Linked DNA regions of Nothobranchius furzeri. The protein of the gene in region 2 interacts with the protein of the main gene of each other region in a pairwise test. Links are inferred from orthologs where the notes say so. Each region holds a gene or a part of one and is shown on either strand. Other genes may lie near its edges. The genes, in order: myf5 and id1.

Evidence for each region.
Region 1: the proteins of id1 (region 2) and myf5 interact in binary tests that used the Homo sapiens proteins (3 or more experiments, as listed by UniProt). The link is inferred for Nothobranchius furzeri from reciprocal best matches to the Homo sapiens genes ID1 and MYF5.

What each region holds. Positions count from the first base shown.
Region 1 is NC_091741.1:40,949,161-40,953,195, reverse strand, and holds myf5 (myogenic factor 5), read right to left. Parts: upstream 2,525-4,035; 5' UTR 2,412-2,524; coding exon 1,959-2,411; intron 1,237-1,958; coding exon 1,164-1,236; intron 969-1,163; coding exon 772-968; 3' UTR 568-771; downstream 1-567.
Region 2 is NC_091743.1:40,070,771-40,074,059, forward strand, and holds id1 (DNA-binding protein inhibitor ID-1), read right to left. Parts: upstream 1,942-3,289; 5' UTR 1,842-1,941; coding exon 1,488-1,841; intron 1,246-1,487; coding exon 1,210-1,245; 3' UTR 714-1,209; downstream 1-713. UniProt on the Homo sapiens protein: Transcriptional regulator (lacking a basic DNA binding domain) which negatively regulates the basic helix-loop-helix (bHLH) transcription factors by forming heterodimers and inhibiting their DNA binding and transcriptional activity.

The DNA.
Region 1 (4,035 bases), on a different chromosome or scaffold from region 2:
TCCTCTTCCTCAGCCACGCGATAATAAGTACTATTAGAGGCCATCTGTTCTCCACATGGGTGTTGATGGTGCAATCAAAGGTGTTAATGATGACTCACATTTGGTAGGAAAGGACAAACAGGTGGAGAAAAGTGGGAAAACACACAGCAACACGTCAAAACACAGAGAAGCTCAAAGATCACTTAAATGTTTGCATTTGTTGGTTGATTCATCCTAAAAACCTACAATTCACAAAGTTCCACGTGAATTTGCAGCAAAATGATAAATATTATCAGCTGACCTCTGATGTGATCCCTTTACAGCCAAGATGAGGACATAATAAATAACCTGCGCTTTTATTTTGAAATCTGCAACAGACTCCAATTTATCATCATGCTAATGATTGTGTCTGCTGTCAGCGATTAGACTGATGAACCATCTTTCGGCTTTATTTGGCTCAAAAAGGAAACTTCATGGAAAAGAAACGCATGAATTCAAGAAATAAATTTAACTTTTCAACTATTTTGAACAAAAACATAAAAATAACCAACAATCAAAACAAAGGAGTGTCAAAATTTGTTTAAATATAATCATTTATGAATAATTCAGCACTGCATCAAATATGTTCAGTGGAGCGTTAAAGCATGTGGGGAATAAACAGGCCTTATTTTACATATTTACAGTCTCATGTACAGTATTTAACGATGGTTGTTGCGTCGCATGAAAGCTGCTTCCCGTGGTTTGGTTGCAAGCGCAGCTGGCGTCTGATGACATCAGAGCGAGGGCCCTGCTTCACAGGACGTGGTACACGGGCCTGGTTCCGGGGCTCTCGGGTGTGCGCGGCTGAGAGTCGGAGCTGCCGGGGGAGAAGGTGGCCATGTCTCTCAGGGCAGAAGGTCCACAGCTGGACTCCACCGTGGACAGGCGGTCCACGATGCTGGACAGGCACTCCAAGCTGGAGGTGCCCATTGGTTTGTCATCCAAACTCTCTGAAACATGAAAATGAGACATTCACATCACTTTTTAGGGATAGTTTTAGCTCTCAAGCATCTTAATTGACTAAAAATGAAGAAAAAGCTGCAAATTTGTAAAATTTCTCTCTTCTAAATCTGGTTTCTGTGTGACCTCCAGAGGAAAACAGACACAGAATATTTCACCGACACGTTCACATCAGAGGCTCTCACCGTTCTTCCCATAGGAATAGCTGTGTGTGTAGTTTGCATTCAGCTGCTGCCACACAGGACTGTTGCCTCCAGCCTGTAAGAACACGAGAGATCAAATTTACCCTCGCACCGCTGCAACTTACAAAAACACACCAACAGAACACGTTAACGCAAACATCAAACGGACCGAGGCAGGAAAAAGTACTACAAAACGAGTCTTCATGTCAGTCAGGACAGGCCAATAAATCCCAAATTCCAAAGTTATTGGCTTCTTTATTTCACATCCATCTTAAAGTCAAAGTGGCGGTGCACGCTCCCCGCTCCTCCAAACCCCCCCTTCCCGGCCGAATCCTAGCGTGGCGAATCGATTGTATCAGTGGAAGCAACACCAGTTTGTGCAAGATGACACTTTCTCTGAGTAAATCTGCAGAAAATCCTGGCAGCGGTGCCGAGCATGCAGTCAGGATGGAATGCAGAAAAGCGCCCGGGTTTTTCAGTGAGGTGGATTTAGTTTGGTTTATTGGTGCGATGCAGCGTTCAGTGGTGGGAAGGCTGAATTATGTTACTCTGTTGTCTGAGATACGGTCAAAGACGAACCATCAAACAGGAAGTACGGAACAAAATCAGACTAAAAACTCTCCAGGCTGCAGATCAGATGATTGTTTACAGGATTATGCACAGCTCTGCTGGCAGGAAGCACTCCCGCCCTCTTTAACTGATGAAGTCTTGGGTTCACAGGCGTATCTAGCAGCTGTGGGCTTCAGCTCAACCAGATGTTTGCTTAGAGAGTTTGAACATGAGGATTAGAGGTCTTACCATGCCATCAGAGCAGCTGGACAGCGGGCTCCCCGGCTCAGAGCTGCTCTCTCCGGGTAGGCCGTAAAAGTTCTCCACCTGTTCTCGCAGAAGATCCTGCAGGCTCTCGATGTACTGGATGGCGTTGCGCAGGATCTCCACCTTGGGCAGGCGCTGGCTGGGGTTGGCCGAGGTGCAGCGCCTCAAGGCCTCAAAGGCATGGTTGACTTTCTTCAGCCGCCGACGCTCGCGCATGGTGGCGGCCCGCCTGCGGTCCACAAAACTGGACTTGCGCTTGCAGGCCTTGCAAGCCCACTGGAGGCAATGTCCGGGCTGATGGGGGGCTCCAGGAACTCGGACGTGCTCGTCTTCCTCAGAGCCGGCGAGCTCCATGGTGGGACCAAACTCCAGGCTGTCTGGAGACGAAGCGCACGCTCTGTCAAAGTAGACCTGCGATGGCGAGAAGACGTCCATGGCTTGGTGAAGAAGTGAGTCTGAACGGACGAGCACAAAGGAAGGAAGGAGGGTAAAGGTGCTGGGTGAAAGAGAGGAGACCTCTGAGTGATATGAGGGGTCTGTTGCCCCAGGCCCCCCTTATATGCCCCCTGGCTAAAGCCCAGGGCCTACATTGGCCGGATCTAATTACCATGGCCCATTGGCCCAGCCAGAAGGCAGGCTGGAGTTAGATCAGCTCCCTCCCTGCCCCATCCCTACCCCCCCAGTACCCTGCAGAGTTTCTCACATCTGCACTTACTGGCGTTTTCCAACTCATCCCCATTTTCTCCGGCCCTTCTCTGCCGAGGTCACAGTGAATGTTTCAGGAGTTTGTGGTCAAGGGGTTAAAAAAGAACCAGAGTCTTGTGTTTTTGCCGGTTGCATCTGTAAGCGGCCGGGTTTTGGGCCCCCACCACTGAGATGACACTTTGTTATGGAGACATAATTACAACAGAGAGTGCAATTTGTTCAAACTGAGCAGAAAAGCAGACCGGCCCCTCGCAGGAGCATGCAGGCCAATTTTTACGGTGGAGACAACAGCGTTGCAGATGCGGCCCAGCTGCAAAGGAAGGTGTAACATTTCAAGCCCCGCAAATTCACAGGACGGCGGCAAGCCCCCTCTGAACGGCCACGCTTGTCATCTGAGAGGTGATCCGTGTTTGCTGAAGCTCATGAAAGCAGCAATCACACAAATGTCAGGGCGGCTCGTCCGACCTCGAACCAAACTTTAACCGTCGCCGACACAAGCCAGGCACCGACAGACCACGGTGACCCTCGTGGACGAGGAGGGATCCGAGGGGCTTCCAGAGGGCAAACTAACAAAAACACAAACAAAACTAGATTCATCATGTTTTTTTATTTGATTTTACATCGAGACATTTTAGTTTTCATTCTGCTGACTGAAATATTTAAAAAACATTTGACATAAAGCTGAAGATAATGTATATTTTTAAAGAGCACCACGTACAGAATATTTGTTCAAAAACACAACTCGTCTATATTTTTATTTATTTATTTTTATTGCTCGTGAATACACATTTTACCTTCCGTTAGACGATTTAGCCCCTAAAAGTTTATTTTTAAGCGAGTGTTTTTTTTTTGCACATTTGCATTTTTAATGCAAAATAAACTTATCATTGTACTAAAATGTTTTTATAAACACCTTCCATTAAACAAAAACCAGGATTGTGGACTATTTACAAAATGAGGTGGAATTAAACGTATTTTTACATTCCTGCAGGTAATCGTGTTGCTGACAGCTCACAAGGATACAATGCGGATATTTTCTCACAATGTGTCAGAACGTTTGGCGCAACCCCTTCTCCCTGCATGGGAACGTTGCGCACCTAAGAAAACACCAGAAGCGGCCGCGACTGCGTCCGCACAACTCGGCGGACTTTGGCTGCAGGCACAGCTGAAGAAGACATCGGCGGCTCGTTTCCGCTGAGAGGATCAAAGGCTGCGAAGCACGTCTTCAATGAGAAAACCTGCCATCAACCGGGAGCTGATTGGTCCTGATTGGCGCAGCACATGGCGCATAATCCTGCTTGTAGTGGCGCAATGAGTGCGCACAGAGCCGATGATGTGATCCGTGTCCCGGGCT
Region 2 (3,289 bases):
TGGGAATCTCTACCCTGTGTGTGTGTGTGTGTGTGTGTGTGTGTGTGTGTGTGTGTGTGTGTGTGTGTGTGTGTGTGTGTGTGTGTGTGTGTGTGTGTGTGTGTGTGTTTGGCCCGGTTCCCGGCCCATCTGCGGCCTGGCCCGTGGATTACTGTTTGTTAATGTTTCAATCAGCTGTGTGTTGAGGAATGTGCAGCTATTTAACCTGAACTTCCCCAGGTGTGCCGCGGCGCCGCTCAGTCTGGGCCCCGCCGCCCTCCCCTGCCCTTGGCACAAAGCTATCACACAAACACAATCACGCACTGGCCACGCCGGGCTGCAGCTGTGCGCATCGCACCGCAGGGAAATGGGAAAAACATCGCACCAGGGAGACGGAATAAATCTCCACACCAGAGCCGCTTTAACCCCCGCGGAGCCGGCGGGGACTCCGCTTCACGGTGTTTACCCCTAAACCGAGCATTTTATGAACGCTTGAGCTAATGTTTAATTTATCACGTCTGAAATTAATGCATTGGTTAGTGACAAACTCTCCCCCTGACCTGACACCGTGCTGTAGGGACCCGCACAGCCTTTATGTTAGTCTACCTGCAGCTGAAGCCTGGTGGCACCTGGATGACTGCAGCTTCTGACAGCAGAGGTCAGAGTTAGCCTCAGAACTACATCATCTGTCTCATTCTCCTTCTGGTTTCATATCAACAGACACAACACGGGCATTCTTGTTCAAAAATAGTGTTCTTGTTTTAATAAAAACGCAAATAAAGTACATTGCAAGAAACAATATCTTCACATATGTGGCATTGTAATATACAATACAGTTTGGTCGCTCAGGAATCTGAGAAATAGCTTTCCTTTCACAAAATATTGAGATCTGTATATGATGTACACGTGATTATACAGAGTGTAACAGAGACGTAAAACTCTACGAGCAGCGCTGGTTGCTCTGGACTTGTCTTGGTCCCCCGGACTAACCCGGTCTTCTGCATCTGGACACCACGGGTGCTCCTCTGGTCCCAGGAGCCCTCGGAGGAATCGAGAGCTGGTTGAGACCATCTCGGCCTGAGGATGTCCTTTTTCTAACAGTTGGGAGTTTCAAACGTCCCTACACAGTTCAAGGCTCAGGATTTAGATGTGGATTCACATCAAGTCGCCTTGTCGGTTCTGGTTGGCGGGCGCAGACGGTGGGATGATGGGGAGGTGCTCCACTGGATCTTAGCGGCACATTATCCTGTCGTCCGAGCATCCGTTCTGCAGGAAGGAGAAGGAAAACACCAGGAGGTTAGAACATGTAGTCTACACACACACACACACACACACACACACACACACACACACACACACACACACACACACACACACACACACACTGAATCTATGATCTGTCACAGATGGCGAACCAGCTTTTACGCACGCATGTTGCGCATCGACTTAAACGTTAAACGTAAGCCACGCAGGTATGTTACCACAGGTGTGACTGACTGGATGTTTACCTCCACTGAGATACTGGCGAGCTCCGAGTTGAGCGTGGTGAGCGGAGTGCGCGGCGCGCCGCTGACGGCGTGCTGGCGGCTCTTCTCCGGCTCGTCCAGCTCGACCTGCAGGTCCCAGATGTAGTCGATGACGTGCTGCAGGATCTCCACCTTGCTGGCCTTCTTGTTTGTGGGCAGGGTGGGCACGAGCTCCTTCAGCTTGCTGTAGCAGCTGTTCATGTCCTGGAGGAAGACGCTCATCTGCTCGTCCAGCAGCGGGATCTTGCACTTGGAGATGGCGAGGCTCTGCTCGGACAGGCCGATCTCTCCCCCGACCTTGGTCTTCAGGGCACAGGTAGATCCAACAACCTTCATGTTGTGCTGATTAGGAGGCGTAAGTCAAGAGTATTCTCCTCTCAGAGATCTTCTCAGTCAGTGTTGACAGTTGTCTAGTTGACATGGAGGAACCTCCTCTGGTTTATAGGCATGCAGCAGCAGGGGGCGTGGCTGCGCGGTCCAGTTTGAAGCAGTCAACCAATGAGAGATGTGCGGTTGTGTTGACAGGGCGGTGCTGTGCGTCTCTCTCAGCCAATGAGGATGCGCGACTGGTTATCAGACTTTACAATCTGTTAGAAGGATGGCGTTACAAATGGAAACAAATGTGTGTCTTTATGGGTAATATGTGGGAATCCAGCTGTCCGCGGCTTGGGTACTCTGCAGGTGTAGACTGCCTGGGGACGGAGGGTGGGCGGTGCATGCCGGGTAGGGTGTGTGGGATGGGACGGAGTGAATGGGATGAATGGCGCTGACAATTAGGCTACCACAGTGCCCCAGATTTGCTTCTCACAATAGTTGGTGCTGCAGATGTGGCGGACAAAGGGACAGTAACCGGGGAAGGTGAAGGTGAACCTGTTGGGGGCGAGGCTTGATTTCACTTCCCTGGTTATTAAACATTAAATGTGTCCAGCAGAAGAACTCAAAACTGTCTATTCTCCCAGAACGCAGCAGATTCCTTCACATGTGTGCACACTCAGATCACATCACTCCCTCCCTCCTCCCAGATTGTCCAAACAAGCCCGAGCAGACTGGCAGGCGCCAGCGTGGTGACGTCACCCATTCATCCGAGCCCTGACGCCTGTCAGCCTGGCGCCGCTCGGGCGGTCTCTGTGGAGATGTCAAACAAGGAAGCTCGCGCTCCTCCATTCACCTGCGTGGAGGATCCTGAGAACAAACTGGCTCTGGAACCTTTTCTCCTCCATTTATCACCTTAAAGCGGCGGGATGAGATTACCGCCCCGCACCTGCAGAGTAAAGGACAGCCGGGTAACAGCGGAGCGACAAAGGAGGAGGAGGAGGACTCCTTATTATGATGTTACCACATTCTCACACAGACAGCCGCTGGATTCCTCCAGTCAGCCCACTTTCACTACTAAATCTGTCCCTGTGGTTCCTGAAGCTCCACTCAGCTCCCAGATCTCCTTTAAAGATGAAGGAAAACTTCTACAAACAAAAGTTTTATTAGGCTGAACTCTCAGAATATCAACAGAAAATAGTTTTGCTTATTGTCATCCACTTTACCTATTTATGTTGTTTTAAAGATCAAAAGACCAAAGCTGGTATGACTCTTCAGGGCGCAGGTAGATCATTTTAAAGTCCCACAGACTGTTTCAACTTTCATGAAGACTCAAAGGGTCGTATCTCGATTGTTCTATGGCCGACACCAAACATGTTCTTTCCATTAAATCCCTCTCACAGAAGCAATCTCAGCAGTTTTACCTTTGACATTTTCAGTACCTTCCAGAATGAGCCGTTTTAGGGCTCTGT